Linked DNA regions of Arabidopsis thaliana. The gene in region 2 interacts genetically with the main gene of each other region. Each region holds a gene or a part of one and is shown on either strand. Other genes may lie near its edges.

Region 1 (16,839 bases), on a different chromosome or scaffold from region 2:
TCTTTTGTTTATTTTCCTTTTTATTTACTTTCGATATACTTACTAATTACTAGGAAATACCCAAAATGAATACAATTTTAAATACTGATGGTGCATGAACTTTACAGAATACCAGTTTTGATATTCTTAAAAATGCATTTTCAGTCATATATATTTAGATGATATAACATGAATAGTTGACTATAAGTCTATAACGCCACATTTTTCTTTAATTAGTCTATGAAACTATTGGACAAATATATTTTCAACATACATTATTTATCCATAACGAATGACTTATCACCAGTTCACCACACATAATACGGTTTACTAGCTAGGTATTTATCCATTGTAAAAACGACTTTAAAGTTTTATTTGCACAAAACAATTTTTTAATAATTAATGTTCCATCATATTTTATATGAGACATCTCACAAACCCAAATCAAAATAACGCTGGGAAATGTAACCCTAGGCCATGAAGTGAAATCCATTCATTTCTAGATACAGACGATAGTCGTTGCAAGGATAGAGAACCCGAAATTTTCAATTCTGCATCACTCAGATACTTTCCGAAATATTTAAAATTCCAGTTTTGCAAATCTTTTGTTACCCAATTTTTCTAAGTATGTTAACCTTCTCTTCTTTTTTTTTAAACAAAACCTTCTCTTATCACAAACTGGAAACTGTAAGTTGTGAGTAGGACAACCTTTTATTATACAAGACTCTAGATTATATTCCATTTTTCTAAATATGGTTTCTTAAATTACATATTATGTATATAGGTTCAATAACTAGACGATATTCATTAACATTGATATATATAAAAAAGATAATTATCTTTTTGGTTAAAAAATCCTGAAAGATGATGACATGTGTTAAACAAATTTGGGAGATTACAACACTAATAATAAGATCGGAAAGACTAATATATTATAAGTTGAATAGATATAATGTCTCGTTAACAAAGGATTTCAAGCAAAACTCAGAATCTCTTTAAATTATGAAAGATCAAATTCGCTTACAAATAATTAGACCAGAAACTTGCAGAAATCTTTACAAAAATCATGAGATTTAGGCATTGAAAAATAAAAGGCTTCATGAAGTAATCAAAGATTGACAAATAGGAAAAGAGAACATTTATAAGACAAGAAGGAAACAAAAAGAGAAAAAAAAAAACAATTGAATGAAAAAAATGAGAACAAAAACTTCAATAGCTATAAGATACCTCTAAACTGAAAGCGAAATACTAAATAATGCATAGAAAACTGAAAAAAAACAAAAAACAAAGATACATTGATAATAATCACGACCCCAATATTCTTCTAGCTGATGTTTATCATCATCTTCAGGCACCCATGACTTTGTTCTTTCCCATTTGAGATGAGACTTTATGAGTGACTAGAGCCCGAACCATTCTCTTGTAAAGAAAACGAATCATGAGAAAGATTGATGTTTAGATGAGGAAAAGTAATAGAAGGAGGAATGTTTCTAGAGATTGAATCAAGGGGGTTCCCAGCAACAAAATGGTATCTAGACACACGAGGACGAACGGGAATGATCAGATTCCCATCGAAGGATGAGTTAGTGTTGTTATTAATGATATTGTTGCTATCTCCTATGGACTTAGATGGACCAAGAGTAAGATCAAGATTAATATCATCAGTTGATAAAGCATGTGAGCTATAGTTGTTCATGTTCATATCTGTGGTTCCTCTAGGGACTCCAACATTAAGCAATGGGTTAACGTTGTTGCTGCTGCTGCTACCTTCTATGGACTTCAATGGACCAAGAGAGAGTCCAAGGTGATTATCATTTGATAAAACATCTTGTGAAGACCCACCAAAGAGCAAGTTAGACTTGTCTTTGTTAGAAAGCCTTGACTCGATCTGTTGCCTCTCCAATTCTCGGTCCTCCTTGTGGGTGGTTCCGTGACCGCCAAGGGCATGAGGGGTTGGGAACGCTCTCTTGCACAAGTAACAGATGTAGATCTTATTATAATACTGGGGCGGATTGTTCACTGTCTCCTTCTCCTCCAGGACCTCCATGGCCACAACGGAACTTTTGAGTTTTTGATCATGTTTGTGTGTGGAGGAGCTTGATGAAGACATAGATTGGTTCTCCATTACAATTTGTTTTGTAAAACTTAATTTGCTGAGAGTTAGAAGTTATGTCTTATCTCTTTTTTGTTAGATTTATGCTATTTATTGAGTAAACTATTAATTATTGTGTTTCACTAATTTAAGGTATGAAATCTCCAAAGGCAAAAACAAATTAATTGAAACCACAGAGTTTTAGTCTTTCTCTTCTCTAAAGTGCTATTTCACGTACGTGTCAAAATACACCAATTTAAGTTATAGTTCAATCAAAATTTAAATATCTTATATTTGCACGAGTGTTTGAATATATAAATTTTAAAAAAATATGGTTATTTCTCTAACCATGTTGATTTTACTCATTTTGTCTTCCAAAATAATAGTTTTGTGTGATACATGTACCAGTTGGCTTTGTATAATCTGAAATTTATCTACTCATTTAAAAATGACTGAAGCAGTCAGAGAGTCTCCCAAGCTAAGGGTTGAGTCACTCAAAATACAAAGTTAAAACACTCAAAAATAACAAAAACAATTGGTGGAGGATTCAAACCAAAAATATAACATTGTGAAATAATACAGTTCATATCCCCTGATCTCAAGTAACTTACTCGAAAGCAACAAAACGATTTTGAAAGGCACACACATATGAATGATTGCTGCTTAAACACAAGTGCATGAAAGAGTACTGATGAGATATGCATATCAATCTCACAAATAATTTATTATTAAAAAAAAACATATTAATCTGATCTTTGAATAATTGAAACAGGAAAGAATATTCCAAACTATGTAAAGTGCTAGTTGTTCATATTTGGAGGTGGAATATGGAAAGGAGCCTTAAATGTAGAATTACCACCAATGAAGCGTAAATTATCCAGAAAGAAAAATCCTGCTTCGTCGAAATCATAGATTATAACCTGGTTAGAGGGGAGACCTGGAAAGGAACTAGCAGGGACACAAAATGGTTCAGATTTTGAGAGGTACATGCAGAGATCTCCAATGTCTTGGGTGTAAACCGCGTTTCCTTGTTCGTCAAGCTTGAACACCATCAAAGCTTCGGTTCCCATTTTCGCAACACCATTGACGATCTCAGCGGTTCTCTTGTACCACTTAACCAAGAACATTTCACCACCAGTGGATCGTGATTCCACCAAGTGCTCGCTTGTACAGCAAGAATCCAGAAGCTTCCGTGTGGTCTTTGCAAGATTGGGAAACTTTTTAAATCGCAGCTTCTGAATCTTGGGTGTGTGCATGTGTGTACCGAGATCCCATGATCCAATGAGATGGCCTCCAGATCCGGGAATGCGAAACATGTCATCTTTCTCCGAATACATGACACTGGAGGAGTAGAAACAGGGGTTTGCGATTCTGACGTTGATCCACTCGGGTTTACGTTGAGCTGGTCTGCAAAAGCTGAGCTGAGGTCCTAAGAACTTGACAGCCACGACACAGTCCTCATCCTCGGGAGAAGATGAAGACATTGACACATTGGTGACGATTTGAGTTTGGCAATGGGGCAGAGTTACAAGAGGAGGCAAGGGAATGCGTTTAGGGTTCGTATCCGATGCAGCCGGGTTAAAATCATCTTGGAGACGCAATATACCGTCGTCCTTCAAAGTAGCTACCCAACCATGGGATGACCCGATCGTTACCATGGGATCACTGTGCACCAACTCTAGAGGCACCTTCTTTTCCAAGCAAGTGCGTCGAGACATCATCATAACATCGAGTCTCCCGAGATGATCAGCTCCACAAGGTTGAACGCCGACGATTGAACAAGGAGGGGTTTGCATCAGAGAGGATCTTACCAGTACAGGTTTCCTCCGAAAGCATAGTAGCTTCAAAGGTTGGTTTAGAAGCAGAGACATGCGTAAGAGATGTTGTTACCGAAATGCAAAGGCTGCAAGAGATTTAGATTAGATTAAGAAAGTATTATACAAACCCTAGTTGAAGAATAAATAAGTTTATGCGGTCAGTAGAACCGAAATTTTCTCGATTTGCTTTGGTTCTGTTTAAAGTTGTGATTTGACATGATTTGATTCAACACTATCTCTATAAATAAAGATCCAACGCAATCTTAATTAGATTTCATTTTAATTACGATCAAACCCTTCAGTAATTGTTCTTTTCCCCCATGATTTCATTTCCAAAAAAATGTTGCAATATTAAAGTAGCTAACTAAAACTCACAACAAATAATGAGTGTTGCGATATTAACGACCAAAGCAACGACTTTGAGGAATCCAACACTCTTTCAAATGACTCGTTAATAATAAAAATAAAAAACATTATAGAAAATCTCCAAACTTAGAGAGAAACTAAAACACAAACCAATTTGATATTTTTTTCCCGAGTGATTCGTTCTTAATTTCTCTTTGATGATCTCTGATTTTGTAGTGAATCACCTCCATGGGTAGTGAATCACGTCCATGTGTTATTATGTGTATCAATTAACTGCTGTGTGAGGGTATTATGGGTCTGATTACCTTTAAAATTCTCTTTCCGATTGATTTGGGCCGGTAGGTAAATTTTTCTCTTCGTTTATCAAAAGGAAGAAAAAAGTATTTAAATTTTTGTTTTTCTCAGTTTTTCTTTTTTTGTTATGCTCTGGATTATTTTTTACAATGCATGTGCCATTGTTATGTGAGGGACATGATGAAACAGAGACATCAAAATAATGGGGATTTTCTGATATTTCCTGAAAGAATGATGCTTGTGAAGGATGTTGAGTGGTTACTAGATATGCTATAGAGAGACACACAAAGGTAGTAGAAAAGAACCTGTTGAAAACCAAAAGCAGACTCATGATGTAACTAAGCAAATAGAGATTTAGGATGGAACTAAACAAAGGGTTCCGTTCCAAGATAAAACTAGTGACCATTACCAATGATGACCATGGTAATAATATAGGAGAAGAAAAGAAAAGACTCAGTTCCAAACTACGGTACTAATCTAGTTTTTGGGGTGGCATAAGGTAATTGCTTTTGAATGATGTAGGCATCACATCAGTAATGATGGTGGAATCATCCAGATCGAAAAAGCCGCCTTCGTCACAGTCAAAGAGTATGACATTGTTAGGGCACAGTCCGGGAAAAGAGCTAGCAAGGACACAAAAAGGTTCAGACTTTGAAAGAAAAATGCAGAGATCTCCAATATCTTGAGTGTAAACCGCGTTTCCTTGTTCGTCAAGCTTGAACACCATTAAAGCTTGTGTTTTCATTTGCGCAATACCCTTGATGATCTTGCTTGAAGACTTCTTGTACCACTTAACCAAGAAAGTTTCACCAGCTGGTGACTCAACCAAGTGCTCGCTCTTGCAACATGAATCCAGTAGCTTCTGTTTGGTCTTTGTCAGCTTGGGAAGGTTTTGAAACTGCAAGCTCTGCAAATTATGCTTGTGTGTGCGGAGATCCCATGTTCCAATGAGGTGTCCTCCAGATCCGGGAATGCAAAACATGTTATCTTTCTTGGAGTACATGACACGAGATAAGTAGAAACAAGGGTTTTCGATTCTGATGTTGATCCACTCGGAGTTACTTTGAGCCGGTCTGCAAAAGCTGAGCTGAGGTCCCAAAAACTTGACAGCCACAACACAGTCTTCATCCTCAGGAGAAGATGCGGACAATGACACATTGGTAACGATTTGAGTTTGGCAATGAGGGAGAGTTACAAGAGGAGGCAGGGGAATGCGTTTCGGGTTAGTATCCGATGCAACCGGGTTTAGATCGTCTTGGAGACGCAGTAGTCCGTCGTCCTGACTCAAAGTAGCTATCCAGCCATGGGATGAACCGATGGTTACAAGTTCATTATCATACAACAACGCCATAGGCACCTTCTTATCCAAAGAAGTGCATTCATCTTCATAAGGATTCAAAATCACGAGTTTTCCCTCTTTCGCAAGTCTTCCACAACGTTTAGCGCTGACGACGAAACAAGGAGGAGTTTGCAGCAAAGAAGATGATAAGCCATCATTAGAGAGAAGAGGAGATGATCTCACCAACACAGGTTTCCTCCGAAAGCATAGTAGCTTCAAGGGTTGGTTGAGAAGCAGCGCCATTGATAAGAAGTGTTTTAGGGGAAAGCGAGGCTGCAAGAGAATCAAATAAGAAAGAGTAAACAAAACAAAACCCTAGTTGTTGAGATGTTCACATAAATAACCACCAAGATCCGATACAATCTTAATTGGATATCATTTTAATTAACCACGTTCAAACCTTATTATATGAAGTTTGTTTCTTCGAATATATTTTCCATATACTTGATTTAATTATAAATACTTATTTACATAACAATACATACTCCAGAATCAATATCCTCAAATTTTAGAAAAACAATGTGAGATGTACATGATTGAGATAAAGCTTGAAGCTAAGTCTGATTAAGAAGAAATTAAAGTTTGCAAAATGTGGGGAAGTCTCTATACGTGTCAGAGGGTTTGAGATCTGAGAATACTTGAAGAGAGGCTATGGAGAGTAATTCGAGAAGCAAAAATAAGCAGTCGTCTATTTACTATATGAGAAAAATCTTCCTTCTAGATGTGCAAATATCCTCCTGAAAAGTTGGTCCTCGCACTGATAACAAAGAGAGATGGCTATGATGATCATATATTTCCAAGCTCATCCCATCATAATCGCGACGTCACATCCCCTAAAAAGCATATTAATTGCCAAAGTTGGTAGCATAACTCTCTTCTAATGGCGACTTAAAATGGAAATATACTAAGTGGATCTATATATTTTCAAAATTGGAAAGTATATATATGTGGATGAAGTTAGAGAAGTTAGAAATTTCAAAAGGCTTTGGGATTATATTTGTGATAACTCCCGATGATATTCCACATACAGATAAGTAAAGGTGCTACTTAGACCAAACCGATTATGAGGTTTAGAGCCAGCGAGAGACCACTTCTCATTAGACTACAAAACTTTTTTAGGTTTATTCACACACAATGTATTATAGTTCCTAATGTATACCTATTAAATTAGAGTTTGTCGAATGTTAGGATTATAGTTCGTATTGACAAACAAATATCAGTTTGAAAAATTAGGAATCTAAGAGATAATAATATAATTATTTTTTTGGGTTTAAATTGAAATTTGTGTTGGTTGGAACATTCGTTGACTCATCGTCACATCAAATAAAAATCTTAGCAAATAAAATATGTCCCATAAACATCACATAAATAAACAAAGAAATTGGAATCAATACAACAACCACTCCAAAGTGGATACAGACATAACAGGTGATGAGATGGCCATGTGATTTATTTTCCACCCGCAACACTCTAATGCTTATATATGACCAATCAAAAAAACCACTTAAACCGCCAAATAAACCGACCTTATTTTTGATAAATCAAAACCCACTTAGTCACAAATTAACCAATTTTATATGATTACACTTTCACAAATATTCATGTGTAGATTTCTTTGAAAATTTTCAGGTGCTGCAATCACGAGTGACCGAATTATTTTTGAAAATTTAAACCGAAATGAAATTAAACCGAACCATATTCAATTTTGAAAATGAAATCTAAAACCGGATTAATAAACCAGTACCATAATCTGAACGGTCCAAAAAGTATTGACCCATCTCTCTCTCTTGGTCGCTCGTTCTCAAAGGGCAAAGAAAAAAGGATTTTTAATTTTCGGAGAGGAAGAAGAAGAGAGAGATATTGAAGAGCGCTGAAGGCGGAAAAGACTATTTTGACCTCGTCGTCTCCGTAGATCATTTTTCTTCAGCTCTTCTTCTTCCTCTTTCTCCGATTCTCCTTCTTTTGATTTTATCTATCCGCCATGAACGAGAAAGCCAACGTCTCTAAGGAGCTTAATGCCCGCCATAGAAAGGTCTCTCTCTAATCTCGAATCTCAGATTCTCTTATTTTATTTTCTCCGAGCTTTGTGGATTTGTCGTCATATATTTGAATTTGGTTGCCAACAATATATGATCGATCTTAATTCGATTGGATCTGTGCATTAGCAGCTATCCTTCCTTCATTTTCTTCGGTTTCCTCTAGTTAGGAGAGGATTTGTATCGTCGATCCTTATCTTCTTCGATCGATTGAGCTAGAATTATTATTCATCAGCAATGAAAATCAGTTTCTCTATTTCGATTTGTTGTCTAGGACAATAGTTGATCACGATCGGGTTTTTGAATTGTTTTATATTCAACGTCGGCTTATTGAATGTTACAGTTTCATGGAGCTTGAATTCTAGTGTTTTCCTATAGAAATTCGTATTCAATTGTTTGATTTTGGAAAGAATCGAACACAGGGATCCAAGGAGCTTAGCGTCCCATAGGGATTTTCATTTGTGCTTGGTAGTCTTTGAGTTATTTGCCATGTTGAAACTATTAGTTGTAGTTGGGATAGCTTTGTGGGATTGGTGATGCATACATGTATAGGATATTAGGAATGATGTTGTATGTCGAGTCTTCGAGAACTTTGGTGTTCATTCATTGACGAAACTTATCTCATACTGCAATGAGAACTTTGATTCATTTTGGTTAGTTAAACATGTCAATTCTGATAATTTTGAAGTTTTCTTGAGATACTCTATATTTTGTATGTGTAGATTCTTCTTTATGTTTTGCGACGTATGATTTTTTCGTTTATGTAGTCTATTGCTTGAATATTCATTTGATTTTGGTGCTACTTATCTGCAGATTCTTGAAGGGCTTCTTAAACATCCAGAGAACAGAGAATGTGCTGACTGCAAAACAAAGTATAGTTTTCTACCTGATGTGAATTTTCAGCATTATTATGCTGGTTCATGTATGTATTTGCTAATACTGTTCCATTTGCTTTGCAGAGGTCCAAGATGGGCTAGTGTTAATTTAGGTATCTTTATCTGCATGCAATGTTCTGGGATTCACAGGAGTCTCGGGGTACACATATCGAAGGTAGTCTCTCACTTTCCTTTCTACATTTGTTTTCTTGATGCTGCATTTTTTTACGAAAGCTCAGATATTAATTCGATGAATAACTCATTCCATTTGGCTCAAATTCTCTGCACAAATTTTCAATTTGGTTTTTGTATTAGCAATTTCATTTTGTATTTTCCATCACAAGAGCTGGAAAGTTTGACATGAATGCATTAAATCTCCCCACCTTCTTGTACTCCCATTGTCGTCGATACAGTTTACACACGAACTTCAAGCAACTCTGTGCAAAAGTACATGATTTGATTTCGCCCTCTGATTTTTGTATGAGCCGTGTCCTTTTGTCAAGTAGATGTTAACCTTAGCAGCATAAGCTACTTTATTTTCTACCAAAACACCTGACTGGGCTAATGAGTGCAGGTTCGATCTGCCACTCTGGACACATGGCTCCCCGAGCAGGTTGCATTTATACAGTGTAAGTGTCTTTTAAACTAAATGCTCTATGGCTGATTCATGGGTTGTTACGCAATGTAAAGTATATAATCTTTTATTTGCATGCAGCAATGGGAAATGATAAAGCAAATAGTTACTGGGAAGCAGAGCTACCCCCAAACTATGATAGAGTTGGAATTGAGAATTTTATACGTGCAAAGTATGTATCTCTCTTTTTCATTATACAAACTTTTCAGTTAGTTCCACCTCATTGAATTGTCTATCTTGCTATTCATATGGACGTTGAAATCATTCTTATGACATATGACTTTTCTAGGTATGAAGAGAAGAGATGGGTTTCTAGAGGGGAAAAGGCTAGATCACCTCCTAGAGTCGAGCAGGAACGGCGGAAATCTGTGGAGAGAAGTGGGCCGGGATATGAGCATGGACATAGTAGTAGTCCTGTAAATTTGTTTGAGGAGAGGAAAACTATTCCAGCATCTAGAACAAGAAATAATGTTGCTGCAACGAGAATAAATCTTCCCGTGCCTCCCCAAGGACCCAGTCAGGTACCAAACATACTTCTCAGAAGATCTGTATAACTAAAGAGCCATACCTTTAGTTACTCATCAGTATTAAGGATCCGTATTCCTTGATCTTATTTAATAATCTTAGGATATCAGCTATGAGATCATTATTTTTGTCAATGCATATGCTGTAGCTGTCAGATCATTATTTTACTCACTGTGTTTTTAGAGCCTCATAATCTGTCAACGTGTCTTTCTTACAGTATCCAAACCCTGGTTTTTCTGATACATGATGCTAAAAATGACAGGTTATAAAGCCACAGCAGAAAATGGAGTCTGCAGCTACTCCAGTAGAGAGGGAGAAACAAGCAGTAAATGTTGCACCAGCATCAGATCCTCCAAAGGTGGATTTTGCTACTGATCTGTTTAACATGCTATCAATGGATGATTCGACTACAAATACCTCAGAGGCAACTCCTGGCGATACTCCTGCCGATGATAACTCATGGGCTGGCTTTCAGTGTATGTATCTATCTAGCATGTGATAATCTAACATCGTGGCACATTTTTCCTATCCTTGTTAACTTTATGTCAATTGTTCTTCTTTTGAAAATGCTTTGGAGTAATAGATTAATTTCTGAATCCTAAAACTGTAGCTGCTGGAAGTGGTCAAACGGCAGAGAAAATTGTCACAGCCAAGCCTGCTGAGAGCAGTTCTCCTCCAGCTTCATCTTCTGACTTTGAGGATTTGTTTAAGGACACACCTAATTTAACAACTCAACAAGCACCAAAAGATGTGAAAGGCGATATCATGAGCCTGTTTGAGAAGGTAAATTATTAGTTAATTATATACGCTTCTCAGATTTCACTGCTTTGTTGATATTCAGCTTTCCAAGTTTCGTTTTTGTATCATTATTTAACTTACATTTACAAATATAGCGAATGATATGATTTGTGTTTTGTTATCACTTACTATGATTTCTTCAACACGGGACATTTGGAACACCAGAGCAGATTCAAGTGATATAACTCTGTGTGTTCTATTTGATTACAGACGAATATAGTATCGCCTTTTGCCATGCATCAGCAACAGGTTGCTATGCTCGCTCAGCAGCAAGCCCTTTACATGGCTGCAGCGAAAGCTGCTGGAGGCACTCCAAACGGCGTGAATCAACAAGCTATTGCTAATGCTCTTAACGTAGCTTCTGCAAATTGGTCAAACCCCGGCGGCTACCAGATCCCCGGAATGACTAACCCCGTAGGTGGTCAAGCTGATCTCCAGAAACTTATGCAAGTAAGATCTCCCCTTTACTTTTTTTAAGCAAGATCAATATTACCATTGACCAAAGTTCTTGCAAAATTCTCACTAATTCTTGCTCTCTGTTACATCGCCATAATTTTAGAACATGAATATGAACGCAAACATGAACACGAGACCCGCACAACCGCAAGAGAACACTCTACAATACCCATCATCCAGGTATGCACACAAAACTGCATCTTGTTTGTTTCTTCTGAAAACATCATAACGTTATCAAAAGTGCTTAACCTAACTAACTCTCATATGATCTTTGGTTGTTATTAATAATGCAGTTTCTACACAATGGGTCAAGCTAATCAAGTGAACGGTATGACCCCAAACTCAACCGGTAAACCTCAGTCATCATCCGCAACCCAACCAACAAGCACCACACCATCTTCACAATCAGGCAAAGACTTTGATTTCTCTTCCTTGATGGATGGAATGTTCACAAAACATTGATCAAGAGAGAGAGACTTTTTCTGAATTTGCCTTTACATCTTTGTTCTAAATTTGAAGAACCAAAAGAATATATATACAATCATCTCTGGACAGTTTTTCTCTGTTAAACATATATTTTCTTTTCTTTGGAACTGTGTTGTAGCCGAGCTTTGATTTATGATTTTACTCGATTGTCGAAAAATTAATAGATGTAATTCTTGCTAAGAAAGGAAAAAAAAAAAAGATTTATCGGTGAGACCGCCACAAAACGTGGATTGTTCTCTTCCACTTACTGCTTTTATTTGCTTTGGTACGAAGTTTGTGACATACCAATTTTTTGGAACTAAGCAAAACAAAGAAACGGTTCCGAAAAGCCTTTGAAAGAAAACAAATTAATCGACCTTTATTGGTAAGATCAATAAAGGCGACGTGTTGATATTGAACTTGTTTCTTGTTATGGGCGGCTGTTTTAGCGTTATAAAGTTTTGAGTTTGGCATTGTCGGGCTTTCGGTCAAATGGCTTAAAGCTCATCCTCCTTCTTCACCACAAGCTTGTGTACCTCCCACTAGCCAACCTTTGTTTACCTTTTTCGTTACAAGATGTTTTATTAGCTACAAAATGCAAAACTGTAATCAATGATGACAACGTAAATCTGTAAATACCATTTCTACAAATCCTCGCTTGATCACAAAGCACAACAAATGAAGTTGTGCACTACATTGTATTTAATTATATTATTTTCTTGCATTTTTTTTGGTTTTCTCTTACACGTACATCGTCCTTGATCTAATGCAAACATAAACTAAAACACCACGTTGGACTTTAGCATTACTCATTTGGTTATTATAACAAAAATACCATGTCGGACTTGTACCGACCTTAGGGCAGAAGTTTAAAGTTTAAGTTCTATTATACTATGTAGAGGATATAGCCAATATTTATGATGCATAAGAAGATCAATCAGTATCAAGTACAAAAATCCAAAATGGTCGGTAGAATTTTGTTGTGCTTGTTGACCCGTAATGCGATATATATCTTTCGTGAGTTTGAATTGTCAAATCAAATCTACTATTAATATAAGCACTAATATGAAAACAAAATTGAACGTTTAGCATTGAGAATGATATATACGTATGCATCTATCTCAATTATTTTATGTTACAATCTGCATGTCCTTATCTAAAACAGTATTCACATGCATCATAATTCGCATTCTCACTATGACTTTCAACTATTAATTTTACAATGTCAATGAAAAATGGCCTACATTACCTAAAAATCCTAGCTCAACAGTAACTACTTTGTTTTTTTTTGCTAGCAACCATAACTTTTTTACAATTATATAATTTTACAATAACAAAACCAAAAAAGAATATTTCCATTTACAAATATCTTCTAGATCGGCTAAACTCAAATTAACACTAACATACATAAAATGAACTAATGAAGACTCGAAATTTCTCCCCAAAAAAATAAATAAAATGAAGACACAATCGACTAAATTTTTTGTTGCCAAGTGAAAAAACAAAAATCAACGGTACGACTTGGTACGTAGGTGGCAGATTCTCGAATCTCAAATTCTCTAATCACACACAATGCATAAAATATTGTACTTCTATTGTCAAAATCTTGTTGCAAATGTTAGGCAAGCTTATATTATAAGTTTATAACTTAAAACGTCAAAACCCAAAACTGACACGTGTCACTCAGATAAGCCTCCATAACCATACCCTCAATAAATAAGGCCCACTTATGATTCTGTAAAAAGCCCACACAAACACGGACCACATTTTTAAGAATTTATAAATTTCACCGTATCTATATAAATCCACACATCTCAAAGCTTCTTTAGTTTATTTTCGTAGATAAGAACCACCGAACTAACAAAATTTGAAATTCCCAAAGCAAAAACAAATTACATCATTCAATTCAATTCTCAATGCCTCTTCTTCTCCCTACCTCTTCCTTCAAAACGACGGCCACCGTCGTAATCGCCGGCGTTTCATCTATTGCCACGGCGATGATTCTCACGGTCCCTTCCGTTTCCCATTTCGTAGTCTCTTGCTTTCCGATTATTTACGATAACACCGTCTTCCTCTTAAAACCACCGTATCTTTACTTAGTCATCAACTCTATCATCGTCTGCATCATCGCTACTTCTAAACTCACTCATAAATCGTCCTCCGTCGATGACTCTGAGATCTCGGAAGTAGTGACTCCAATACCGATACCGGTACCGGTTCATTTACCTTCTGATATCGATTCCGGTTATTTAAACGTGGTTCATGTGGTTTCTGATTATACCGGATTTGTTGAGAAAATCGATGACGTGTCGATTAATCCAACGGTGGAGGCTATCCGGAAGTTTCCAGAAGTTCAGGAGGCGGAGAAGTCGAAAGAGAGTAGCGATTCGCCGGAACCGGAGACGGAGAAGCCAAAATTGAAGAATGATTCGCCGGAGATTTCGATTCTGAAGCACAGTACGAGAAAACCGCCGCGATTTAATCAGCAAAAATCTCTTAAATCTAATTCAGAAGGTAAAATAATTTAGTTTTTTTTGCTCGAAATTCGAATTTTCTGAGAAGGGCAAAATCGTAAAATGACGGAGGAGTTGTCACTGTTTATACAGGTGGAAATAAAAAGACGGCGTTGGGAGTGACGAAGCCACCGAGGAGACAAGACACGCTGGAGACGACGTGGAAGAAGATAACGGAAGGACGTTCAACGCCGTTAACTAAGCACTTGACTAAATCCGACACGTGGCAAGAAAGAGCTCACGTGCAAAGCTCACCAGAAAATAAGGAGAAGATGACCAAGTCCGAGAATTTAAAGGACATAAATACCCCCACGGAGGAGAAGACGGTGTTGAAACGCGAGCCGTCGCCGGGACAGGAGGAGTTGAATCGGCGCGTTGAAGCGTTTATAAAGAAGTTTAACGAAGAGATGAGATTGCAAAGATTAGAATCTTTGGCTAAATACAATGAAATGGTAAATGGAGGGACTCGTTTGTAAATTTTCGTGGTTTTTGCTTAGGCGTCGGTGAAGGAGAAAAATGACGGCACAGTCGCAAAAGTTGACTTGACTCTTTTTTACAACCACTTAAAAGAGTTTTTTTTTCCTTCTTCCGGGGAACAAAATTTCAAAATAATGCAAAAATTGTGTTTATGATTGTTATGTTTCTTTTGGGGTCGAGACGTTAATCGTGTGGTTACAAGTGAAGGATTATATGTTAACAGTAGTGAGTAGTGACTAGTGTTCGAATCTGTTTTCTTTTGTAATTTTACATTATAAACAATATTATTTATTTACTATTACAAACACTTTGTTTTTGGCCGAAATGAGTTTGTAAGTTAAGTTTTTACATGACCATAGTAGCAGCAGGAAAAAGCCTATCCAAGAAAGTATATAAACCTCCTCCAAGTAGAAGAGCACCACTGAACCAAAACATAGGAAAAAATGGAACCGAGATTTAGTAAATCAACAATATGAAAAAGCAATAGCCTATAATCATTTATCTTTAACATACCTTATGGGATTGATCCATGCAGAGACCTTTCGCAACGAAAGTAAGCTCTGAAGAAATTTTAAGACGAGTAAATACGCAGTTAGTTTCATTACTGTAAGAAACTTAACTAAGAAATTTGCATTTCGCTATTTGGTTTTAAAAGAAACTACCTGTAAAGCTCCGGCAAAAGAAGCAGCGACGATAAGTGGAGCGACGTAACCTGTTGTATAGGTTAAGAGTAAGCTTCCACCAATTACTGGATCCTGTTTTTCACATTTTATCCATATCAGCTTTTTGCTAAACTTAAACCGTTTCTTAAAAGCTTGAAAACAAAGCCGGAAAGTTAACTAGCTTTCATGTTCATATTTGAGATAATGACATTTCAAATGGAAGGAGACGAAATGGAGTTACCCTGGAAGTAGCCACGTAACCAAGAAGAGTGGCTAGAACTGGAGTACTACAAGGTGAGGCAGCAAGTGCGAATGTGAGACCGGCTAGATATGCTTGTACACCTGACAGAACATTTTGTTACCAAGTATAAGAAACAAGATTTAATGACCAAAAAACCATGAAAGTTTTGTGTGCTAGGAGGTTTACTAGATGGGAAGTTTGCTGCTGCAGCACGAGGATCAAAGTTGTTAAAGAAAGAAGGAAGCTGAAGTTCGATTATCTGTAGGAAATACGTCATGTTAGACATGGCCATTATCTAATGCATTTTTCCATTCTGATTGATGCAATATGAAAAAAGAGTGATTGTAGCAAAAATTACCTCAAGGAGATTGAGACCCATTACAATAGCCAGACCGGATGCAGCTACTGGTAATCCTTGTCCTATTTGTCCATAGGCTTTTCCGGCAAAAGAAGCTACTATCCCAAGAAGGGCTAAGGTAGTTGCTAATCCCAGTGCGAAAGCAACTGTATCTCCAATAACCTAAATGCATGAAGAACTGAAAGGTCACTAAAAACTACTATACTTGTGAATGAAAACATGATGCATTTGATTGGACTGGGTCTATTGTTCCTTTAACGGAGCTTTGATTTGTTTACAGGAACTCAACTTTAACTTCTTTTAAATTTTGTCAATCTGCAACGACAATGATCCAACCAACTCCTAAGGCGACAGCTATTATCTAAAAATCTGTTCTGAAGAGCCACTAACCTGACCTCTGCTTTTGCCAGACCCAAATGCACCTATATGTTACAGCCATATGAAGGACAGGTGAGGAAAGAATTAGAACATCAAACTAAGATTCTAAATAACTTGTGAGAAATGTAAAATCTTGAGATAAGTTATCATACCAATATAACCAAGTGTCAACGGCAAAACACTAAGTGTACATGGAGACAGACTTGTCACAAGGCCTGCCCCAAATATTACTGCCAAACTACAACAGGGATAAATTAGCAGGATAACCTGATGGTCAAGGTCTCAGAAACGCGTTCATTGAGAGAGAACCCGAGAAACATACCTTGTTACACTGAGTGCTGATAGTTGATCTTGAACAGCTTCGTTAGCCTGTTGGTTAGCTGAATACAAGAAGTTCCCGACCGAATCTCCAAGGCTTCCTTCAGCCAAGATGTAAATGGAAGTGGCTTGATCCTGTCTTAAGGGGAAATTAGTTTCTGATTTTACAAGCAATCGGACGTATCTCAAGGCAGAAAAGCATAGGCACAAATTCGT
Region 2 (16,488 bases):
TAACTGCCTTCAGATTTTCTCCAGGTGATACAAATTTAGTACTACGGGAGTTTGAAAAATGTGGTATGGTCTTGAAACATGTTCCTGGTCCAAGAAATGCCAACTGGATGCACATCCTCTACCAGGTTACTGTTCTTCCCTTCAAACCTGTTTGATGCATGTTGATAAGCATTCATAGTTCTTCTAGACGAGTCATCATACATGATAGTCTAATCAAATCTTTTATATAAAGGAAACAACGAACTGACAATGGTCTGTGTATTTGATACAGAACCGGTCTGATGCACATAAGGCGCTGAACAAAGCAGGGATGATGATAAACGGAGTTGTAATAGTAGGAGTGAAGCCAGTAGACCCAATACAGAAGCAAGCGTTAAACGAGAGACTCAACAACCAAGGATTCATGCCTTTACCTCCACCATCATCCACTAGAAACACTGCTCGACCCCTGTCTCGTCCTCAGTACTTGCAAAACGGCAGCGCTTTCTCTCCTCAACCAAGTGGTGGCGCTATGGCCTCTCCGTCAAAGTCAATGGTCTCAAAGTTCTTTGACTTGATGTTCGGTGTTTAAAAGCTACTTCAATGGCATTTCCCGAATGATTCTTCTTTACACATAGTTTGAAGTTTTTGAGAGCAGAGTGGCTAAGTAAATCTTAGAGCGTGGTCAAAATTAAAAATTGTAAGAGGTGTTTCAAATTGTCTTTTGTATTGACGACGGCTAAAAATTTGGTATAAATCTGATTATTAAAATCTCCTCTTTTAGCCGTTTCATTGTTGTTTGTATTTGAGCAGACTAGTCATGCCTCGTGAATGATTGAAAGAAAGACACTGATTCCATGGAAGCCTCACGGGCAGTGTTTTAGAAACTCCATTAGGAACTAGCCACGTATCTAGCCTGTTGTGTTTATATATCCCCTCTCGCATGTAAATTACATTACAAAACTCAGTAACTCACAATGGCGAAAGCAGCAGAGCAGAAACAAAACCCGACCGTTGCGAGTGCAGAAGCGAAGCTTGATATCCGCGACGTGGTCAACACAGCCATCACTTACGGCGAAGATAACCGTCACGGCGGCGGGAAACGCAATGACGTGGCCATGTTTGTGCTAAGAGCCATGTGCATGGCCGTATCAACGGTGGCTGTTACGTTAATGGTAACAGCACGCGAGACTAGCATGACCACTCTCTATGGCTTCGAGTTTCAGCTCCACGCCGTTTGGTCTCTCTCAGATTCTCTTATGTAAGCATATTTCATAAATTTGACATCACCAGTGATATGTATTCCACGTTGCTTTTGAAACTGACGGTTCTTTTACAGATATCTAGTTGTGGTTTCATCGGCAACGGTTCTTTACTCGTTGATTCAACTGATTATAAGTGGAACAAGACTAATGAGAAAATCTCCGGTGATTCCGACAAGAACACAAGCATGGTTTTGCTTCGTTGCAGATCAGATAATAGGATACGCAATGGTGAGTGGAGGATCTGCAGCTTTAGGAGTGACGAATATGAACAGAACAGGAATCAGACACATGCCTCTTCCTAATTTCTGCAAATCTCTTGGTTTCTTCTGTGACCATCTCGCTGGCTCCATCGTCTTCGCCTTATTCGCGTTTCTCCTCCTCGCCGCTTCTTCACTTCTCGACGTTCTCCATCTCTCACGCCACCGCTAAAAATTTAATTACTGTTTTACCCTCTTGTACTTCTCGTCGTTAATTAAGTTTTTCATCATTACAATAATCATTTACGTTATGGGGTTGCTTTTTGGAATTTGATTGTTTCAATCGATATTACCGAATTTCAATGTTTTGAATTTTGTTGACCATGTTCCATATACACGACAAAAAAAATATTCAAAATCACCCGCGACAAACACATACATGAGTGACACTGACAGACCGGTTTCCGCGTCTCGATTCGTTTTTAGCGTCTGGGCTTCTTAATGCCTTTTTTAGAGTTAAATGGCCTAAGTTTTTGTTATTGGGCTTTAAGAAGCCTTTTTATATTACGATTGTTCTGTGTTCTGTTTCTTCTATCCCTTTAGCCTGGGAAATGATGAAGCTCATTGCTACGTTTTAATGGCGATCACTCTATCTCGACTAGCTTGGTTTATTGCAATTCACTTCTTCATGTAAGTTAAATTCACTCTACTTCAATTGAATCACATCATGGCTTGTCGTTTCCCTCTGCATTCTTCGTCACCTTCTCAATTCCTTTCACCGGAAAATCGTCAGAGACTACCCAGAAATTACCCTTCAATCTCATGCCAAAACAATTCAGCTACGAACGTTGTCCATGAAGATGGTGATGATAACGACAAAGCCAAGACAAACCAAGTCAATCTTCTCGCAATACCAATCACACTCACTATAATCTCCGCTTCTCTAGCCAAACCGTCGTTCGCGGCTGCGAAGGTAACGGAGAGAAAGAGAACTCAGAAGAAACCTCAGGAGGCTTTGACACTTGAACAGCTTAAAGCTTGGTCCAAAGATTTACCTGTAGTTTCGAATCGTATACCTTATACTGACATTTTGAGCTTAAAAGCTGAAGGTAAGCTTAAGCATGTGATAAAGCCTCCTAATTTAAGTTTGCGGCAAAAGGCAGAGCCTGTGTTAGTAGTTTTGGAGGATTCTAGAGTATTAAGGACTGTGTTGCCTTCTTTAGAGGGTAATAAGAGGTTTTGGGAACAATGGGATGAGTTAGGGATTGATGTACAATGTGTTAATGCTTATACTCCTCCGGTTAAGAGACCTCCTGTGCCGTCTCCTTATTTAGGATTTTTGTGGAAAGTTCCTGCTTATATGTTAACATGGGTTAAGCCAAAGAAGGAGTCTAAACGTGCTGCTGAGTTGAAGAGAATGAGGGAGGATTTCAAGAGGCAGAGGAAGGAGGAGATTGAGACGATGAAAGAGGAAAGAGTGATGATGGAAAAGACAATGAAGGCGCAGAAGAAACAACAGGAGAGGAAGAAAAGGAAGGCTGTTAGGAAGAAGAAATACGAGGAGTCTCTGCGTGAGGCGAGGAAAAATTATCGAGATATGGCGGATATGTGGGCAAGATTGGCTCAGGATCCTAATGTGGCTACTGCTCTTGGATTGGTATTCTTTTATATATTTTACCGTGTGGTGGTTCTCAACTATAGGAAGCAAAAGAAGGATTATGAAGACAGGTTGAAGATTGAGAAGGCGGAAGCAGATGAGAGGAAGAAAATGAGGGAGTTGGAAAGGGAGATGGAGGGAATTGAGGAAGAGGATGAGGAGGTTGAGGAAGGTACAGGTGAGAAAAATCCTTACTTACAGATGGCGATGCAGTTCATGAAGTCAGGTGCACGTGTGAGACGAGCATCAAATAAGAGGTTACCTGAGTATCTTGAGAGAGGTGTGGATGTCAAATTTACAGATGTTGCTGGACTTGGGAAGATTCGTCTTGAACTTGAGGAAATCGTTAAGTTTTTTACTCATGGAGAGATGTACCGCAGGAGAGGGGTCAAGATTCCAGGTTGAATGTTGTGAAAACTTCTGTTTTTCCTTATATCACCTAGTATTTGATGTTAAGTTATATGATCTATGAAATTCTGCTGTTTGATCATTTCTTTAATTTTGTTTTCGTTTAGGTGGTATTCTTTTATGTGGGCCTCCTGGGGTCGGAAAAACTTTACTGGCAAAAGCTGTAGCTGGTGAAGCAGGAGTCAATTTCTTCTCTATCTCTGCTTCTCAGTTTGTGGAAATATATGTTGGTGTTGGTGCATCTCGTGTCCGAGCATTATACCAAGAAGCTAGAGAAAATGTAAGTCTAATAACTTTCTATACCTGTGTTGATCGTAGAACTTAATTCTCACTTTTGGATGCTTCTGAGATCATTCAAGCAGTACCTCTTGGCTTCTTTTCTGTTGATTCTCATTGTTATAGTGAGGATTTAGTCTATTACTGGATGTTAATTTTAAGGTGGTCTCACTGCAGGCTCCATCTGTGGTCTTCATTGATGAATTGGATGCTGTTGGAAGGGAGCGTGGGTTAATAAAGGGTTCTGGAGGACAAGAAAGGGATGCCACTCTTAATCAGGTTCCAGACATTTCAGATTGTGTAATAGTTTTCTTCGTTATATAACGGGATGGTAATTTTATTCATTTTTTTGTGTCCCAGCTACTTGTTTCTTTAGATGGTTTTGAAGGAAGGGGAGAGGTCATCACCATTGCTTCCACAAACAGACCAGACATTCTCGATCCTGCGCTTGTGAGGCCTGGACGGTTCGACCGCAAAATCTTTATCCCTAAACCTGGTCTTATTGGACGGATGGAAATTCTGCAGGTAACGGCGTGGTATCTGTGTTTATGTATTCTTAAACTTGTAAATTTGCAACAAAAAAAAAAGAGGTTAAAAGTAGAGTTTTGTCCTCGGTCCAAATTTATATTTTTGTTTTGGTTTTGCTGTTTAGGTTCATGCTCGTAAGAAGCCGATGGCTGAAGATTTAGACTATATGGCAGTTGCTAGCATGACAGATGGCATGGTTGGAGCAGAGCTTGCTAATATTGTTGAGATCGCGGCAATTAATATGATGCGTGATGGAAGAACAGAGGTGGGATCAATATTTTTAGTTCAAATTAGTTATATCTGCTCTTGTTTTTTGGATGGGTTTGGTTTCAAATGTTAGGATCGTGTAGCATCTGGTAATATGGTGTGTGTGAATTAAATTAAGTGATTGGATGTTGTGCTCGATAGGAAGCTTAGGCTAATATTAAGTTTAGAAGTCTATTTTTGATTCCAGCAAGTAAAAGACTGAGAAATCATCTATATTCTGTAACTCTAATGCAGTTAACAACAGATGATTTGCTTCAAGCTGCACAAATAGAAGAAAGAGGAATGTTAGATAGAAAAGACAGGAGCTTGGAGACATGGCGACAAGTTGCGATCAATGAAGCTGCAATGGCTGTTGTAGCAGTGAACTTTCCTGATATGAAGAATATAGAATTTGTAGGTTTCTTAAATCTCTTTTCCCCTTCATACATTGAATGAAGCTTCAACTTTCTGTTTTACCGCACCGTGACATTTCGATGACCTTGACCAGCTGACAATCAACCCTAGAGCTGGTAGAGAATTGGGTTATGTCCGGGTGAAGATGGATCATATCAAATTTAAGGAAGGCATGCTTAGGTTTGTGGCTTTCATCATACAGATTTACTTTCATGATTACACGGGTTCTTTATGTTAATCTATATGTCCTTTGGTGGTCTACTATATGTAGTCGACAATCCATCTTGGATCACATCACTGTTCAGTTAGCACCCCGTGCTGCAGATGAACTATGGTACGGTGAGGATCAGGTGAGAGATATGATATATCATTTTACTCTTCTCTAATAACTGTGGTCATATTTTTTTTTAGTTTACCAACCTTTGCTAATGATTTGTTACAGTTAAGCACGATATGGGCTGAAACATCGGATAACGCAAGATCAGCTGCTCGATCATTGGTTCTTGGTGGTCTTTCTGATAAGCATCATGGCTTGAATAACTTCTGGGTAGCTGATCGAATTAACGTAAGGCCATATCTTGACATTGTTTTCACTTCAGTTTTCAGAGAACAGATATCATCTTCTGATACATGGATTTGCAGGATATTGATGTGGAGGCATTGCGGATATTGAACATGTGTTACGAGCGTGCTAAAGAGGTAAAGTAGACTTCTAAATCAACTACATCTATATCATAGCATCTCCTTTATATTGGTCTTGTTAAATATATATTTACAAACGCATACACCAGATTCTTGGAAGAAACAGGACGCTCATGGACGAGGTGGTAGAGAAACTGGTTCAAAAGAAAAGTCTAACGAAACAAGAATTCTTCACTCTTGTTGAGCTCTATGGGTCCAGTAAACCAATGCCACCGAGTATCCTTGAACTTAGGAAGATCAAACGGCTTGAGCTAGAAGAGATGGTGCTGAAACTGGACATGACTACCGCAAGAAACAGTTCATAAGATGATTGTAATTTGGAGAAAAGAGACAGTTCGTGACAATCGTAGGGAATAAACATCAAAAACCCATTATAGAGACAATGAGGTTGATCCTTTATCTATATTTCCTCTGTAATCTTTGTAATAGTACATGTTAGATAATTCTTTGAGCTTCAATATAGTATAACACTTCTTTTTATCCATATTGAAGCAATAGTCAATTTTAAATTGTTTCACATATCTTGAAAAAAGGATTATGAATTTTTATGTCATGAACTTATGTGGAGCATGTGGATTATTTTAATTTGCTATATATAAAAATTGGAAGACATTGAACAATGGGCACATGCTAATCCATGATTTTTCTTTTTGTTAGGTATTTAGGTGAAATTGCAAATTGATGAGAATCAAATCAAGAGTGCTTAGGTTGGTCGATATACATACAACTATTTGATTATTATTACAGAGCAGATAACATTTGACTTGCAAGATTTGACAACTAAATGATATTTACGTGTTACCAATTTTTATTTTATTTTTAGTTAACCCGTTTACCAAATCATTTACTTAACCTCCTTATTGGTAATTGGCCACCTTAATGGCTTAATCTCTATTATTGAACCCACCCGACTCATCATCATGTACTGTTTACTAAAAAATCGAAATACCCAACCGATTTTCTAATTTTATTATTTAAAACTCTTACGTACATAATTGTTCTATACAATTCACTTCACTGTTATTAATGATAAAAGTCGTTTATTTGAATTTTATCAAAGCACTACAGAAATTAATATGTTAAAAATAGTTTTCTCATATTTTATAATCTGGATATAGGTTCAATACGATTTCTTTGGGTTCTTGTCTCATATAAAGTGTCCAAAATTATTAATCTTCTTAAACAACGGTAAAAAAAATAAAAATTGAATTCGTCAAAAGAATTTGACAACAAGAAAAGAGGTCCACAACGGCAGTATTTGACTTGCTCGTTCCCACACCACCATCTCTACTCATATTCAGTTAAATACTATATTTAAGCTAAAATTAAACACACTCAAATATTAAAGAAATAAACAAAACCCGTGTTTAAGAAGACTAAAAATCACGTAACAGTTTCAAAATAAAGAGCTATGTGACTATGGAATCTGAACTGTAACTCCACCTTTTATTAAAAATTCAAATGCATTTTTCTTCTTTGAATATTGATCTTTTCGGTTTGTTGGCAAAAGTTTAACTAGTTTGATAAAAACAAACGAATTAGTGGAATTTAATATGAATTATAATAAGGATGAACCCGTGACCAAAACACAAAACAAAAGTACGTGACCGTTAATGTTCTGTACTTATGTTGGTCGAAATAAAGGAATTTCATTTTATCCACAGTGATTTTATGTTGGTTATACTGTAAACGTTTTTCACAGCAGAAGCAATGTTATTTTTTTGCAAACATAAACTATATTCTATTAGTAATGTTGGTGCACAAAAAAAAAAGAAGAAGATATAATTAGTCAAAATATTAAATAAGTAAAAAAGATTGGACGGTGTACCTCATTTGAATTATTTTTAGAGTGTTCTATAATGCATTCTCATATTTGATCATTACAAATTTTGTTCCAACCTAAACTCCTACAGTTACCTAACTATAATATAAATTTCTTGCTTCTGGAATTATCTAATCGACATACCTAGATTAATAATCTTCAATCTTGTAAATTGGAATGTAGTTATAGAATAATGTCAACTTGTCATAGATTCCAACTATTTTCTTCACAATAATTGTAACAATTTAAAATCAATTATAGTCAGCATTGGAGAAGAGGGTTATTGACTGGTGAGAAGAAACAAAGAATGACCATTGACTCTTTTAGGAATTTATACGTTTAAGAAGAGTTAAATAACATTTTTGTTTGTTGTGATTCACAAGTACAAGAACATTGCGTAACGATAGTTTCCAATTTCCAAACTTACAATAATTGTATGTTATATATATTACACATTTACATAAATATTAATAAGTATATTTTACAATATTTGGTACACTAGCCCTAGTATAGTAGCATATGCTACGTATCCGTACAAAAAGAAAAGAAATACAAATGTTATCTATGATGCAATATTGCAATATAATGCACTTTCCTAACTTAATTAGTGATTAAAGCTCCACAATTCCACGAAATTAAACTCCGATATTTCTTCATAAAAATCCATAACCGGAGGATACACCCAACAATCGAACGGCTCAGAATAAGCCAGATCAGCACGTGATGTCACACTCTCGTCATAACTTCCTTCTTCAATGTTAGGCAGCTCCACAATTTTCTCCAACCTCTCCTCATCCTCTGACTCCGCCGCCACGTAAGAAGATTCCGACGAAGGTGGGGCCTCCGGAGCCTCATCCTTCTCTAACAGTTTTTCTTCGACCACCATGGCGGCGGCTTCTGCGGCGGCTGTCTGGATATCATGCGGCGATGATGACGCCGGACGAGGGAAGAGAGAAGCAAGCTCAGGGAAATTTAAGACGGCGGAGGAGCCTTTGATGGTGAGAGCAGCGACGTCGTGAGCACGAGCAGCCATATCAGCGGTGACAAAAGTGCCGAGCCAAATACGAGTTTTCTTACGAGGTTGTCGGATCTCGGAGACCCATTTGCCCCAACTTCTCATCCGCACACCTCTGTAAACAGGATGTTGCATTGAAGAAGATGAAGAAGCAGAAGAAGAATCTCTCCTTCTCTTTCTTGTGTTGTTGTTTCTGGGTGGAGCTTCTTCTTCAGACAAGTGGGTGCTTGTTGTAGTAGTTGCATCAGATTGGTCTGATGACGATGATGTTGGTGATGCAGAGCTGTTGAGTGACGTCATCTTTTGTACTCTCGTTTGATACTTACTTCTTCTTTTTGTGTGGATGTGAGACATGTATTTATAGACTGACTGCTAAAGTGCTAATGAGAGAGCTTTGATTCTGAGGTTTTTTTTTTTAATAAACTTTCTTTTAGTATAAAAACATAACACGTTTTTTTTCTGGTTTTTGGATGTGAGAATCAATAGTAATTATTACAACCGTCAATCGTACCAAATTAGACTCTTAAAACTGTATAGTATTTTTTTTATTTTTTTCCATATACATATGAGTAAATTGTGATTTTGATTTTACAACTGCATACTATTATTATTGTGTTCTTGTTTTTAGATTATTTTGATTGTTCTTTGTTTTGGGTGGAATTAGACTATTTCTTTCTTTTAATTTTTGTCAACAAGCATACTATTTCTTATTTCAAAGGCTAATTAATTTGGTGGAAATGTGTCAAACTATCAAAGAAAATAAATACTTAATTTGACTAATGAAATTAGACGCTCCATTTTAAGTGACATTTAGCCTACCCATCTTTCAATTATCATGAAGATTTTATAAAAATCCAAAAAAAAAAAAAATATATCTACACCTATTATATGTAATATACATTTGACCATATTGATAATTTTTTAAACGAAATAAAACTGAGGATGGATTTGCCAACAAAGAAGCATAAAAGATGCAGAGAATGTAAAAAGAAAAGATTTACAGAAGAGATCGTTTATTAACTTTCTAAAAAATAATCTCAATGTCTCCTTCGTTTCCTATTTGAGAGAGACTTGGAGAGTCTAAAGTTACTTCCATATGTCACTATCAATCTGCCCGTTGAGGTATTTTTATTCATTCTTTATTTTTATATTTACACAGTATGGGAACCTCAAAATCTTATTAATTGGATTTATGTAATGAGGATGTCACTCGTCATTTTCCCGTTACCACTTTTTAAAAAGATAAGAAAAGTAACTTCCACCATTTTTTTCAATCTTTACCGTTGGTAGAAAGTACACAAAAGATGCATTCTTATTAAACTTCAGGTAAGAAAATAAAGGGGCATCATTTCCTTTTTCTCTCATTAATCAAACTCTGAATAGTTTCACCTAAATAGATTGAGAAATTATTAGCTTTCTTTCTTTCTTATCGTATGAAAATATCTACACCAATGCAAACACTTGACCAATGGATGTATCCTAAAATAAGTAACGCCAATTTAAAATGAGCAAACCAGTATAACAGGCAATGCTGAGAATATGGACCAAGTTTAACGTGTGAGAAAAAAAAAGCTCATTGCAGCCACTTAGATTAGATCTACCTTATTTTATTAACTACTCCAAATTGTAACAGACATCACGATTAAACAAAATTATCCCTGGCTTTCGTTTTTCTCCATCAACAAAATTTTCTAATTAAGAAACGCAAAAACAACTGGACTTGACTTGAAGTCTTTAAACTATTCATATGCATTTCCTTTCTCAGTTTCATTTCCTTTCTTGTCTACGTTCGATACACAGACACAAGTCTCTTCAGATATAATATATAGCAACGGAACAAAATAAACACATCTAGTAACAAACAAAAAGCAACTCTACAACTACATGTTCATGCCAAGAACAATGGACTCCAAAGAAGAAGAAAAACCAAAGACAAAACGAGGAAACAGATAAAAGAAGCAAAAACCCTTACCATATGAATTATAAAGCTATCTCCATTTTCTCCTCAAGTCTATACAGCTCTCATAAATTAATGTTTTAGCTTCCTGCACCCTTGTGTCCACATCTCATGAAATAGCATTTAACACTGGAAGGCGGAATTTTGTAAGCAACCATCAAGATACTCTCTTTGTGTCGCGGGCTGATGTAAGATGATCCTGCATCACACAAACATTTATGTAGTTGCTCCATGAGTGTATGTACATCAAACGAAGGTTTTTTAACTATGCCACAAAAGTAGATCTAGTCTGACTATGTTTAGGTGGTTTTAATCGAGCTAGACATTATGTGTGTGAGATTTGATGTCACATGTACAAAGACAAATGGCAGATTGACCAAACTTTAGAATCAAAGATCAGGAGCAAGATGGCAAAACTTACAGAAATGAAATCGAAGGCTCTGGTATCTTCTTTTTTCGAACCATTCATTGTTGAGGTTGGAGCCTGATTACCAAAATTTGGCTGGAATATATCAGGGAGTGCGGACTGATTCCCTCCACTTGTACCCATAGAAAGAACATTTCCGCTACCCTGAGCGTTCAGATTGCCGAACTGCTGGAAGTTGGACATATTACCAAGGTACTGCTGCTGCTGAGCTAACAAGCTTGCCATGGCAGCGTAATTCAAAGGTTGGGATGCAAAAGCTGGATTCATCATCATCCCTTGAGGAAAATTGAATGGCATAACACCTCCAGGAAGCATTGTGTTTTGAATAAACCCAGGATTTTGTGAGCCAAGAATGCCTCCAACAGGATTTTCCGGTGCTTGGTGGCTGGTGGTGCTCGGCATTGCAAATAAATCCTGTGGAAGAGTGCTTGAAGACGAGCCTTTCTGATTTGAATTGTTTTCGTCAATGGAGAAACTTCCCATCAAATCATTAATGTTTTTTGCATCTTTTGGCTCTGCTTCAAGTTTTGCAGTTGACCCAAACATATCAAATAGATCAGGCACATGATTACCACCAACAGCAGCGGACTTTTCCCCGACAGTCATTCCAGAGAAGAGGTCATCTGCACTTTCTTTTTCTTCATTCGGATGAAATGAGACATCTGCAAAGGGGTCGTCATCAGTTTTCTTCTCGCTGCTACTCAGTCCAATGTCAGAGCTATCCCCAAACCAATCATCATCCATCAATGGACCTGCTGTCGCCACTGTACTGCCAGTATCTATAGCATTCAGATTGTTCAAAGTATCGTCTGAATCACCGGTGTCAATCAAGTCAGGTAAATCAACAGCAGCCTCTCGCTTCACAGTATTATCAGAGCTGCTCATCAACCCACTTGACTGTCCACCATTTAGAAGGCTCAGAACCTACACAACATCGGTATCTCGAGTTAACCAACAAATTAGCATAATGCCAAAAAAGAGTTTTGTGAATGGTTATAACAAGCAGAAGCTTACCTTGTTCGCCTTTTCTCGAAGGGAAGATTGTGGAGACTCTGCGCACCGCTGTATGGCATCCAAGTTTTCACTAAAATAGGTATGTACAATTGAAAAATTCTCATCTTCCTTCTTCCTCAAAATGGCCTCAAGGACACATAAAGCTTTCATCCGAACCTGCCAAACAGAAAAACACAGTTACTTTCAAAGTACAAAAGTGGGAAGATTAACGCTACAGAAGAAACAAGCCAGGGAAAAGAAAATACAGATGATATAATCAAGAAAAAAGTACATTAGTAGCATCAAACAGTTTCACAAGGAGGTGACTAGGAAATAATCATAAACATACCTGCCACATTGGAGAATGGAGCTTCCCGTCAAGAGCAATGCTTAAAGCAACAGCGTCCATTTTTGCAGCCTCTAAAATGAAAACATGAAGAGCATCACGAGTTGGCTGCAGGCGTACACCACCAGATGTAACAATGGTTTCCAGCAGCTTTTCCTCACGAGTTTTGCTCTCAACACGAACTGAAGCAGAACTTTCACTTGCTTCTCCGGAAGCGTGGCCCCAAGATCCACCAGTCGTGTTCTTAGACGTTCCGTAGTTACCATCCTTCCCCAGCTTAACTGGATCATATCTACTGAAGTTCTCATTTTCCATAGTTAATGATCTGTGGAGATTTGGACCTCTGTAGCTGCTGCTGCCATTCTCATTCTTCTTTGGCAAATGGCCTTGAGCAAAATTACTGATTCCTTGCTTTATAGATGCACTTCCAATACCCACCACCTCACTAAGGAACGATTTATTATCATTAGAGGGCACCTGAAAGTTAGTATTCCCGAATCCTTCAATGCGTCTGTTGATGCTTTCAGGAGCAGCTGGTTTAGTACCATTCTCTTCTGAGAATATAGCAGAAATTGTTTCATGAGCAGTTTCCCGTACAGCCTTATTAAGTGCATCTCCTTTTAAAGGATCTGGATGCCCCTTGTAATGGAATAGATTGCGCACTGCAACCGAATTCCTTTGCATTTCTCGTCTAAACTCTGAGCCAGACTTTCCCACAGCATACTTTATCAACCTAAGAGCCTGTATATACATATAATAACCAAAATCAGTATAACCAGTTCCTACAGAGCTTTTAGCCACAATAAGATCCATTCTACGTCTCCCTATAAACAAACTCTACGCTATAATCAAACACATAAAGCTTTCTCTTTGATCCATTCTAAGAAAAAACAAACATCTACCTACAATCTAAATCAATCCCGACATGCAAACATTTCAATCAAAATCTTCATGGAAAACAAATGTCTCACAAAGGAACAACATTTCACAATCAAAAACAGAAAACAAACGTAATTGAAAATACCTTCTGCTTAACAATGGGGCTTTTGTTATCAAGACGTTTCAAAATGAATTCAGAAAACTCCTTGACGATGCTGACATGAGAAGAACGAAGGAGGTCACAGATCTCTTCCAATTTGTACACAGGCGCAACTTTGTCCTCATCAGACGTAACCGCATCTATCATCCGCGACCTCCAATACGATTCCACAGCTCTCCTGCTCGTATCCATGGCGAATTCGAAACAAAACAACCCTAATTCCCAAAATCACAACTTTTTCGTCCTCACCAGTCAAAAAAGCTTCAAAGACAACAACTTTATGAAAGACCGATCCTCAAAACAATTAGATCAGTCAAAAAACCGATCCTTTAAGCTCCAATTCCAGCTCAAATTCACCAAACTAAAGATCACGATCGGGATCCAAATTTCCCCTATAAACCAATCAACGCGGAGGTAAAATTAGACCCTTGAGACAACACAATCATGCGTCAAGCGGAATCGAATCAATAACCTCGGAGAAATCAGCAGAGAACGGAGAAATTGAGAAGAAAAAAACTCACCGATTCGTATGTGACAGAGAAAGAAGGAAGCGGTCAATAAAGAGGAATGGTTGTGTGTTCTTCGGTGTCTTTCCTTATTTCCCAAAGTTCCGATTTTTTTTAATTTCTTTTTCACAATTCACATTATGCACATGAAACTGATTTATTTCCTCTGTCACACTCACAGGAAAAATCAATTAAATTGATATTATTTCTAAAGACAATACAACACAGTCAAAAACAGGGGACAAAACAGAACATTCTAATCTATATACTAATTGATGAAAAAGCTTGGGACTTTGTCACGTATTAAGCTATCATCATCAGTCTCTTCTTCTTCTTCTTCTTCTTCAACCACTTGGTTTCTGAATAGAGTTTTGAAGTAAGGTAAAATCTTTGGAAGCACATGTAAATCCGCCATGTTTATACTCATCATATCAAAGGCAATGCATGTATTGTGCATATGTGATTCGTCAATCACCGGGATCTTTGGGTATCTCTGGCTAAAATGTGTCAGTACGGTTCGGTATACACCTGCTGAAGATCCAACTTTGATTGCTTCTTTAGTTGTGCTATGGTTTTTAGCCACAGCTTCTTCTACCAACGCATCCTCAAACGTCGCCTGTTATAAGTTTGAAAAGATGGTAAATTTTAAGAATGAGATGTAAATGTTTTACACAGTTTTGCTTATATAGAAAAGCACCTCATGTATAAGAACTGTTGCTCCTTTTGAAGCTTCAACCATCTCAGGACAAGGCCTTGTGTCTCCCGAGTAAACCATTTTCCACCCCGGAATCTCATCTCCGGCAATGTTTTTTCTTTCTGCTGCTTTTAACGAAACCCCAAAGGCTTGAGGGCAATGCACAACAGGAAAGCTAATCAAATGCTCCAACCCCATTTCGCCGAGGACTTTTTTCAGTTTCTTCAAGAATGGTAAAGCTGAAGAATTGTCTGTCAGTGGGCTGCTCGGTCTTTTATATATACTCTGCATTAGACTTCCTTTACTGAACAAAGAACCCTCTGCATTGCCGCTACTGGTATTTTTCTCAGGGCGGCTGGTTTCTACAGAAGCCCAAGATGTTGTTGTGGTGTTCCTGCAGTCGAGAAACTCCATATCTAAATCCTCAAGTCTTTGATATGCATCGAGAAAGTTCTTAAGCGATCTCGGTCCAACCACAATTGCTGGCTCATGAGCCAATCCTTTCAAAAGCTCACGTCTGCGAGCAAGGATTCTTGCAAGACCCGTATGGTGATCAGCATGGATGTGAGAGATCCATATACATCTCAAGTTTCTGACTGCTTCATCAGCTCCTTCTAAACCATATCTTCGTTTAAGCTGGCCTAAGGTACCTTCCCCACAATCCAAGAGAATACTGCCTCTAGAGAATAGGTCGATGTAAATTGCCGTGACATTTCGGTATTTTGAGGGTTGGGAGGAACCAGTGCCCAAAAGAACTATCTCCATGTCGTCTCTTCTAATGTTTTCAAGACAGCTTGGAACAGTGCTTTCACCCAGCCATGGCTCTTCGATCATCATCTTGTTGTGTTGTCCATTCCATAACTGCTTGATTTCTTCGGTCTTACTGCTGATTTCAGGAATTTCTGAAAGAAGCTCATCCATCACTCGTAAAGCTGTTAATCGACTAGGGATACTAGATCTGTCTACCCCAAGATTACCATGTGGACGCAAAGTGAACTGCCCACAATATATCAATGAGAGAAAGCGAGAGACTTAAGAGCTAAAGAAAGGAAGTTTCATATGGAATGATGCACTGAAGCAACATTCAATACCTTGAGGAGATTTTCAGCAGAAATGCTTTCACCAAGATTCGAATCGAAGCACTGACAAGAGAAGAAAAGAACACAACTTGACTAAATGAACACAGCCAGATTCAACTCAAAAAGAAAATATCAGAAAAGCGTTTGTAACCTTGCTCAAAGAAGTGGGGTTTATCGAGTTATTATCATGTTGATGAGACCAAAATCCAGGAGCTGGGAAGAACTGTGGACATAAATAGTTAAGTCTGGCTGTGATTCTAGAACTGGCTCTCAGGATTGGAAACTCCATATTCTTCCTGGACAAACACCAAAACTACATATCAGACAAATAAATTCAACAGTTCTTTTATGAGAAAGAACCATAGTTGAGAAGACTCACGCTTCATGTCCAGCGAGAATGTGCTGGGCAGAATGGAATCTCTTCATCCAGCTTCGGTATGTAGAACTATTTGTTACAGAAGCTGGACTTAGATGAATAATACAATTAACAAGCTTAGCTCCATCTGTTGAATTGTCAAGACATGAATAATAAGTCTTCATAGACGGGATAGATAGCAGTTCCTCGGCATGTGACTCTGTTGGACAATCCACAAGCAAAACAACAGGACCAGGAACTGAAGGTCCCATCACATCACTCGGATGAACCTATGATTAAGCGTGAACAGTGTTAGTCTGCTTGTATAGAAACTGATATTGGGTTGTGAAGATTCCCAATGATTGCTCTTTGAGACATACCGTAATATCTTTAAAATCTGACTTGACTGACTGTCCAGACTGAAGATAACTGTACTTTGGACCAGCTCTCAATCCAAGAGCCATGGCCTTCTTTGGATCAAACTTTCCTTTGATTTCAGGTAATTCACATACATATATAACTGCTGTTTCACCAGGTTTGCTGCCAGATTCCTCTAAGCGACTTGGTTCTAGGAGAATGGCGG

Evidence for each region.
Region 1: of AT3G16270 (region 2) and AGD5, changing one enhances a phenotype caused by changing the other (phenotypic enhancement), as found in Arabidopsis thaliana (one study listed by BioGRID).

The regions. Positions count from the first base shown.
Region 1 is NC_003076.8:22,052,096-22,068,934, reverse strand, and holds AGD5 (ARF-GAP domain 5), read left to right. Parts: upstream 1-7,664; 5' UTR 7,665-7,868; coding exon 7,869-7,919; intron 7,920-8,736; coding exon 8,737-8,795; intron 8,796-8,882; coding exon 8,883-8,973; intron 8,974-9,372; coding exon 9,373-9,427; intron 9,428-9,513; coding exon 9,514-9,604; intron 9,605-9,721; coding exon 9,722-9,953; intron 9,954-10,219; coding exon 10,220-10,433; intron 10,434-10,567; coding exon 10,568-10,740; intron 10,741-10,965; coding exon 10,966-11,205; intron 11,206-11,314; coding exon 11,315-11,391; intron 11,392-11,504; coding exon 11,505-11,673; 3' UTR 11,674-11,949; downstream 11,950-16,839. Other genes in the region: AT5G54340 (C2H2 and C2HC zinc fingers superfamily protein), read right to left, coding at 1,370-2,104; AT5G54330 (hypothetical protein (DUF295)), read right to left, coding at 2,872-3,942; AT5G54320 (hypothetical protein (DUF295)), read right to left, coding at 5,021-6,130; AT5G54300 (cotton fiber-like protein (DUF761)), read left to right, coding at 13,593-14,190, 14,283-14,665; CcdA (cytochrome c biogenesis protein family), read right to left, coding at 15,012-15,087, 15,180-15,226, 15,329-15,421, 15,570-15,670, 15,756-15,828, 15,928-16,089, 16,318-16,349, 16,458-16,543 and 1 more. UniProt on the Arabidopsis thaliana protein: GTPase-activating protein (GAP) for ADP ribosylation factor (ARF). Mediates clathrin-dependent trafficking of vacuolar cargo from the trans-Golgi network (TGN). Promotes plant growth.
Region 2 is NC_003074.8:5,510,676-5,527,163, reverse strand, and holds AT3G16270 (ENTH/VHS family protein), read right to left. Parts: upstream 13,892-16,488; 5' UTR 13,793-13,891; exon of another isoform or gene 13,664-13,792; 5' UTR 13,464-13,663; coding exon 13,257-13,463; intron 12,974-13,256; coding exon 12,236-12,973; intron 12,064-12,235; coding exon 11,908-12,063; intron 11,818-11,907; coding exon 10,888-11,817; intron 10,666-10,887; coding exon 10,624-10,665; 3' UTR 10,482-10,623; exon of another isoform or gene 10,232-10,481; intron 9,899-10,231; 3' UTR 9,558-9,898; downstream 1-9,557. Other genes in the region: AT3G16310 (mitotic phosphoprotein N' end (MPPN) family protein), read left to right, coding at 14-125, 272-571; AT3G16300 (Uncharacterized protein family (UPF0497)), read left to right, coding at 957-1,240, 1,319-1,673; EMB2083 (AAA-type ATPase family protein), read left to right, coding at 2,169-3,498, 3,614-3,786, 3,960-4,061, 4,143-4,307, 4,435-4,575, 4,812-4,970, 5,065-5,150, 5,242-5,320 and 3 more; AT3G16280 (Integrase-type DNA-binding superfamily protein), read right to left, coding at 8,099-8,863; TRZ4 (tRNAse Z4), read right to left, coding at 14,046-14,393, 14,475-15,467, 15,563-15,613, 15,702-15,846, 15,930-16,195, 16,286-16,488. UniProt on the Arabidopsis thaliana protein: Mediates clathrin-dependent trafficking of vacuolar cargo from the trans-Golgi network (TGN). Promotes plant growth.